2 linked regions of the Cricetulus griseus genome follow. The protein of the gene in region 1 interacts with the protein of each later gene in a pairwise test. Links are inferred from orthologs where the notes say so. Each region holds a gene or a part of one and is shown on either strand. Other genes may lie near its edges.

The links.
Region 2: the proteins of Mall (region 1) and Ms4a12 interact in binary tests that used the Homo sapiens proteins (3 or more experiments, as listed by UniProt). The two-hybrid records come from large-scale screens. The link is inferred for Cricetulus griseus from reciprocal best matches to the Homo sapiens genes MALL and MS4A12.

The regions. Positions count from the first base shown.
Region 1 is NC_048599.1:50,860,318-50,864,329, reverse strand, and holds the start of Mall (MAL-like protein), read right to left. Parts: upstream 2,801-4,012; coding exon 2,690-2,800; intron 1-2,689.
Region 2 is NC_048596.1:49,231,150-49,235,436, reverse strand, and holds the start of Ms4a12 (membrane-spanning 4-domains subfamily A member 12), read right to left. Parts: upstream 2,801-4,287; coding exon 2,528-2,800; intron 1-2,527. UniProt on the Homo sapiens protein: May be involved in signal transduction as a component of a multimeric receptor complex.

The DNA of each region.
Region 1 (4,012 bases):
GAGTAAGCTACTGGAAGCCTGAGCTACCCTACCTGGCCTGTCATCTTCAAGAGCCACAAAGAGCCAGAGGCGTACCTCCATGATAGCCAGAGTGTGGCTTATGGCCATCAGGGAAGATCCCAGCTTGTTGGATTTGATCTGACAATGAATCTGCCCACCGGCTCCATGTGGTGCTCCACAACAGCTGCTGGTGGCTGGGAAGGTCACTGAAGACACCATTGTGTGATGTCACCCCGAGCTACTCCACCGCAGAATCACTGCACCCTAGTTCCTGGGTGTAGGGGACACAGTAACCACGCCTCCTCGGGGCTGGCTACAGGTGTGCCTGACCACGTCCTGGCAGGCATGGTCAGGGTGACGTGAGGGACGCGCACCTGGGAGCCCCTTCTTTTTCCCTGCTTCATTGGTTTGCTCTGCTTACTCCGTTTCTTTCCGGCTGGCTAGGTTGCTCTGTGAGTAAGGCTCTCCCTAATAAATATACCCTAATATCTCTACTGGCTCCGTATCGGTATTCACCTTATACCTGGGTATTGCTTTCTGTGCTCTGCAATGGTGTCCTGGCCTCGCTGCTTTCTAATCCATTCTATAGACCCTTGTCTCAGACCAGAAGACTAAGGAAGGGTCAGGAGTACCTGGAGGCATGGTGCTTTCACATCGATCACATGGATAGCAGAGGGGGATACATCAGACTGCCCAAGCCAAAGACCGGTCTGAGCCAAACTGGCTCAGCACAAATACACGTTTTCCTAGCTTCCGTTCATGGAATCAAAAGTTGATCCTTTCCCCAACCTGGTCCCCTCTTTCCCCGTCTTTCATCCAGGCACACATGATTCTGGAGTCCTTGCTCACAGCGGGTACAAGTAGCATGTGCAGAATGATGCACTCAACACACACACACACACACACACACACACACACACACACACACGCTGCACATGCTCCACCTGTGAACACATGCATACATACAGGTCCTGCCCACTTCTGTATTTTCTAAGTTTTAAACAATGAATAAGGTTGACTTGCAAATTAAAAATTTGGGGCAAGGCTAACTGGAAGGGTACTGCCCTAATGGACTAATCCCTTCTCTAGAACACCAAGATGAAGGCAGGGGAGCCGCCCCAGAATGAAGGGAAAAGGACAACCAAACACAATGAGGAGTTTTAGCCTGGACCCTGGGTCAGAGAAAGGCCATTAGTGGGGAAATGAGCAAATATGACAACAATGGTCAACAGCAGAGTGCTAATGTTAACTTCCTGGCTTGGGGAGATCTGTGGGGTTCAGAGTGATACACACTTCCTGTACTGCTACTGTGTCTTTAAGAGAAATCTAAAATTATTTAAAAATAAGTCAAGAAAACCAAACCAATGACAATGTCCTCTTTTCCTCCAAGTCCCAGGACACCTTGATAGTACTCTTCTAGGAATCCACTGCAGAAGGAGGACAGGTGGGGACATTTGTGGGCCCCTCAAGTGCCAGTTCTCTACCTGGCTGCTTTGCTGCCTCAGCCATCCAGCCTTCTTCGAGTGGCAACTCCCAGGGACAGCCCTGGGCCCTCCCTGACCTGGGACTGGCCATCTCTTCTTGCTGGTGCTGCATTTAAGCCACCCAGAAAACACTCACAGAGACCCCTGGGAGGTAGCCGCCATTCCTACAATGATTTGTGTGACTGGCAAGAATATGCTCAATAAAAAGTGGCAGAGACAGCTCTGTCCTGTCATACATGTGGCTGCTCCAAAGTGAGGGCCACACCCAGGGCCTGGCACACAGAGTTCAGAATGTGATCAGCCTGGCAGGATGCCCACGTTTGTGGGGGATTGAAAGAAACCTATCTCTTAGGTGGGGTCTCTGCCAAAGCCACCCAACTATGGGGCTCAGCTAGCTTGGCTTCCCTTTCTTGATGAACAAGAATGGCTGTTTTAACCAATTTGCCTAAAATTCACTCCATCAGTCCCAGCCTTTCGAGGAGACCAAGAGAGTGGAAAAGGTTGGCCACTGGTGCCAGTTTTATGTACTATTCTGAGTCTTCCTCCCGACACAGAGGCAGCACTGTCAAATTCAGAGCTCAGAAGAAAAAATCACGCACAATCTAGATACTGCAGGAGCAGAGGGAACCTGTTTTCTACTGGATGCATGGCTGAGCCCAGGCAGGGAATAAAGCCCAGTTCTGCTGTGGGGTGCCCCAGAGTCCGGCAATAACAAGTTCTCTGGGGTAACTTGGGCGTTTCAGGAGATTGTTTTATGGACGGTGCTGTCATGAGCTCCCTCCTCTGTGGAGACACATAAATCAAAGTTCAAAGTCAGCTGATGTACTTTGAGAAATACTCGGAGAACTTCTTTTAGAAGGCCTTTTAGAGAGAGAGTCCTCTGGTTCTTTGAACTTTAGGAAAGTACAAACAGCTAGGTGGAAAGAAACCAGGTAATAGAATATTCCGAGACGTCTGGGTAATCTAGAAGGTGGCTGCACACCTTCAATAAACGAGTGTCCTGGGGAAGGTTCCTCTTTGGGAAGGAGGAAAGTTCGCTCTAGAGGGACACAGCCTGGGGTCAGGCAGATAGTATGGAAAGTGGGCACCCGTAGCTAGCTGCCTTACCCCATCCCCGGATGGGGGGTGGCGGGTGGCGGTAGGTCGGTAGCACAGGAGTGGTTCCCAGCCCCTCCCTCCCTGCTGGTGGCCGAAGCCGCACTCACCAGCTCCGGTAGGAAGAAGGCAAAGGGGATGGTGAGAAACACAGCAACGACCCCCGAGGGCACGTCGGGCGGGGCATAGCTGGTGGCCGGCGGTGTGTCCCGGGAAGCCATGCTGTCACCTATGCCGGTATCCTTGCTCCACAGCACTCGCCCGCGCCCGCAGCTGTTCAAGTATCACCTCCCGCCCGACAGACACACCCATCGGACGAGGGACGTCGCCTGGGAGGGGAAAAGAAAGGTTCCAGAAGAGCAGGTCCTTCTGCACAGAGCCGGCCAGCCAGCCAGAGAGAGGGAACTGGTGCTGCCTCGTGAAGGCTCTTTTCTAGACTTTCCCTGGAGCAAACGACTCCAGGAGGTATCCAGCCATGCCCCTGCTGATCTTTACACTCAGGATGTAAGCAGTGTTTTTGTTTTTGTTTTTGCTGATATAAAATACATTTATTGAGGACCTACTATGTGTAACCATCCACAGACACCTCTGGAGCTCAGACAGTCCAGCACGTGGCTATGTTATACTTTTCCAAGAGAGGAGACTGGATAAGAAAAAGGTACAGTCAAGGTCACAGAGTGGTCACACAGATTGCCTTTCTTCCCATCAAGGCGACCCTGGGATTCTAATTGAGGGATTGAAGCAGCCAGGCATTACACCTCCCCTCTTCAGGGATTTGGTGTTGTCCCAACTGAATCACTCTTTGGGGTCTTGCTCTTGCTGTCTTCCTAGTCGAGCTAGGACCCAGGGTTGGGGCCAAGCAGTTCCTTCCCGAGTAGAGCCCAGGGCTGGCTGCCTTGCTGTGTTTCCACACAAAGCTGTTTCTTTCACACGCAAGCCAGGTCTGGAGACTGGACCGATTTCTTCTTTACCTTCCAACCCACTAACCTTCATTTTTCCACCGCCCTGAGGGAAGGCCTGGCGCCCCAGAGTCTTCTTCCTTCCCTCCTTGGCTCCAGCAGGCCAGCTGGAGAGCCTCCCCGGGCAGAGGAGAGGATGCACGGGAGAGTTGTCCCGAAGACTGGGGTGACAGGATGTGTCTTGTTCCTTAGCAACAGCAGGGAGTTCCAGGGCCTGTCCTGGGCAAGGTGGGAGGAGTAGCCAATTGTCTCTGCCAGCCAGGGAGGTGGATTAAATGAAACTCAAAGCCAAAGCCTTGCAAGGAAAGGCAACAGGTAGCCCCCAAACAGCCTATCCTCAACTCTTTCCAAGTCCCAGAGCTTACAGGCCACTCTCAGGTCCCTACACTGTTGACAGGATGGTGCCAAAGCTACTATGTTCTGCTGGAATCTCACCTCTCACCACCTTTTCTGAATATCAGGGACAAGCAGCAC
Region 2 (4,287 bases), on another chromosome or scaffold:
GCCCCCCAAGGCAGAGACTGTGTTGCATTGTACTTCCAGATGTTTTCAGCAGCTGCGTGGGTTGGCTTTGTGAGTACGAGTTTTCAGGGAATGTACTCCATTTGGCAGGGGAAGATCCAAGGAGCCACCTTTGCAGTGTAGATTGGCTGCTGGAGTGGAGGGTGGGGTACTGTTCATTTTTACTTGCCTGAAACACCGTGACTTGACTAAACTACCCAAAGCACTAGCTGGCAAGATGGCTGAAGAATTCTGATACATAGTGGACACCTAGTGTCTACTAACTCCTATAGCCAAGATTTTGGAGCTGTACACAGGAAGAGACATGACACATTGGTGGGAGCCTGTGAAGAGGTATGGGGAAAGCTTAGCAAATGATGGTCACTTCTGTCTAAGCATGTGGAGTCTTTGCTGTAAGACAGACTTGCTTTACAATGACTGTAGAAACAAGATTGTGGGTGTCCAGTTCAAGTCAACTTTTGGGAAGTAAATCAACAAAGACATAACATTTCCAAGGGCTTTTCACATTTTGCTTTCCCCAGACTGTTTGCTAGTAGCTCTATTCCCTTTAAAACAGTTTTCTTTTTTTTTTTTTGTTTTATTTGAGTTACAAACAAGATTGACTTACATGACAATCCCAGTTCCCTTCTCCCTCCCCTCCTCCTCCACCACCCCCCCAACTAAAACCCTACCTATCACATATCCTTTCTTCTAATCTACACCTGACTCAACCTTTCTGCTCCCTTATGACCTCTGCAGCCTTTTTCTTCTTCCCTTCTCATTCTCGTAGCTCCCTCCACCCTTTTCCTATGCTCTCAATTTGCTCAGGGGATCATGACCCTTTCCCCTTCTCCAGGGGACTAAGTTTGTCTTTTTTATGATCCTCCTTGTTTACTAGTTTCTCTGGCAGTATGGATTGTAGGTTACTAATCCCTTACTTTATGTTTAAAATCCACACGAGTGAGTACATATCATGTTTGTCTTTTTGTGATGGGGATACCTCGCTCAGAATGGTTTCTTCTAGTTCCATCCATTTTCCTGCAAATTTCAAGATTCCATTGTTTTTTTCTGCTGAGTAGTACTCCATTGTGTAAATGTACCACATGTTCTCTATCCATTCTTCAGTTGAGGGGCATCTAGGCTGCTTCCAGTTTTTGGCTATTACAAATAGTGCTGCTACGAACATTGTTGAACAGATGTCTTTGTTGTATGAATGTGCTTCTTTTGGGTATATGCCTAAGAGTGGAATTGCTAGATCTTGTGGTAGACTGATTCCCATTTTCTTGAGGAATCGCCATACTGATTTCCAAAGTGACTGTACAAGTTGGCACTCCCACCAGCAATGGAGAAGTGTTCCCCCTTTTCCACATCCTCTCCAGCATAAACTGTCATTGGTGTTTTTGACTTTAGCCATTCTGACAGGAGTAAGATGGTATCTCAGAGTTGTTTTGATTTGCATTTCCCTGATGGCTAAGGGTGTTGAACACTTTCTTATGTGTCTTTCAGCCATTTTAGATTCCTCTATTGAGATAGTCCTGAAAACAGCTTGGTATTGGCACAAAAATTGACAGGTAGACCAATGGAATAGAGTTGAAAACCATGATATTAACCCACACACCCAAGAACACCTGATTTTTGACAAACAATCCAAATATATACACTGGAACAAAGAGAATATCTTCAACAAATGGTGCTGGCATAACTGGATGTGGATATGTAGAAGACTACAGATAGACCCAAGCCTTTTGCCCTCCACAAAACTTAAGTCAAAATGGATCAAAGACCTCAACATATATGCAGCCACGCTGAACCTATTAGAAGATAAAGTGGGAAATACCCTTGAATGAATTGGTACAGAAGACTGCTTCCTGAACATAACATCAGTAGCACAGACACTGAGATCAACAATTAATAAATGGGACCTCCTGAAACTGAGAAGCTTCTGTAAGGCAAAGGACACAGTCAGCAAGACAAAACGACAGCCCACAGACTGGGAAAAGATATTCACCAACCCCACATCTGACAGAGGGCTGATCTCCAAAATATACAAAGAACTTAAGAAGCTAGTCTCCAAAACACCAAACAATCCAATTAAAAAGTTGGGTACAGAACTAAATAGACAATTCTCAATAGAGGAATTTAAAACAGTTTTCAATGATCTCTTTAAAGATGATTCATCTTTATAGGAATATACATTTGTAACAAATCCAAAGACAGAGAGGAGGTTGTCTAAAAAGACTTCCACAGCAGTGAGATCAAGCAAGAAGTTGTTAGGCTTCTGTCACTTCGCCATTTTACTGGATCATCCTGCTAGGGAGTCTTCTGTCAACTGTTAGACACACGACTGAATCTAAAATGAAGTAGCTCAGGGTAATTCATACACAGACTGATCATTTCTTTCTGGGCAGAACACAGTTATCAGAATAATCCTCAAATATTTTTGCTCACTGGACAATATACTATTGTAACTGACAGATGCATGGAAACATTGCAATTGCAACATTAAAAATTCTAGTGACAATACACTCACCCCAAGAGCTATTGCTTCATCTTTAAAGTTGGCTTTGGTTGTTGTTGTTACTGGAGCTGGATGCACCGTTGGCACATTTTCTGGACCAAACCGATTGGTAGTGAAGATTCCTGGAGATGTAATGAAGGGAAGTTGCCCAGTCTGTACTTGGTTTCCTACATTTAAAATACCCAGAGGCTGTTGAGGATGATGAGCCATGGAACTTGTTGGTGGGTAAGGATTGGGAATGGTGACATGCATTCCGGGGTAGGTGGTTGTCTGGGAAGATGTCATTATGTCCTAAGCAATAGAAAACATATAAAAGTAACACATTTATCAAGGTAAGAAATGAAAGGAAATCTTGTCAAGTGTCAATTTTCTATGCAAGTGGGAGAGAGCAACTGAACACATATTGTAATGACAAGCAATAAAAATATGATTCTCATTTGACCTTGGAATCTTGTATATCCTGGGGCTCAAAAGAGGGGATGATGGGAATACATTTAATTTTCAGTTCTTCACATTTAGTTTTGCAGTGTATTCATGTATATGTGTGTATGCAAACACACATGGACGCATGTGTGTTTTCCTGAGTTCATTGTTTCTGAAGGGCAACAGAAGTCAGGGAGGACTGAAATGTCAGGACTCTGAACACATGGTCTGAGTAAGTACCCCTATTACAATGCCAGTGGTTTTATGCACCAATAGGTTGGTTATATAATTCATACTTTAGACAAATGATGAAGACATCCCTCCTATAGTGCTCTTTGACATCTGTGAAGCAAGAAGATGGTTTGCAGAGATCTCAAAAATGAACCCAAGGTCACTGAACACAGTGTTTTTGGTATGCAGTTTCCTTCTACTTTCTTTAAGGATTATGAGTGATTTTTGTTCACATTTAGTCATGGAGACTTACTTCCAACAAAATCCCCTTGGCCACTTTGGGCCTGAGATGCTGAATGAATAAGAACCCACAAGAGCAGTTTATATAAATAGCATTAGGGAGACTAACATCAGTGGCCATATGTGAGCTAGTAACTTCCTCAAACAAATAATTTTAATCTTAGACCACCTTCCTTACTGTCAAGTTGCATTATGGACATCAATATAGTTTCCTATCTGTTGCTATAACTGATTAACAGTAAGATAGTTACTGAAGCCTCTCTTCAGCAGGTTTCAAATGACCTCTTTCGGATAACATTCATTAAATACCACAGTGGGTGTGTACTGTGTTCAATTATAAGCATCATTTTGGGGTTAGAATTCTGGCTGACACCAGCTATGTGTTTAGCAAGTTTGTTGAACTTTCTTTGCTTTTATTTCTCTACAAAACAGTGCTAAAAACAATAAAAGAATACTTTCCTTCTAGGGCTATAAGGAGTGATTCCTCATGACATGCAAATACTATTGAAACAGGAACCATGCATGCATTTTGTAGATCCAGTTTCTGAGACTAAGTACTATTCCAGATCTTTTTAGTCTCCAGCCTGATAGATCACTAAACTGTGGTGCCTTGAACAGCTTTCTCAATTAAATCCCTGTTAGTTCCTGCATCTAAGCTGCAAAACAGTGAATCTAAATGGCTGGTACAAAGTTTGAATGATGGTGATTTTCATAAAGCTGTTTTAAGAGCAAGGGAGATCAAGATCAAGATGGAGAAATCTACAGGGACAGCTGAACCAAGATTGAGGGAACTCATGAACTCTAGACCAGCAGTTAATGGAGCCTCCATGGGACTGAACTAGACCCTCCATTATGTGAGAAAGATTTGTGGAGCCTGG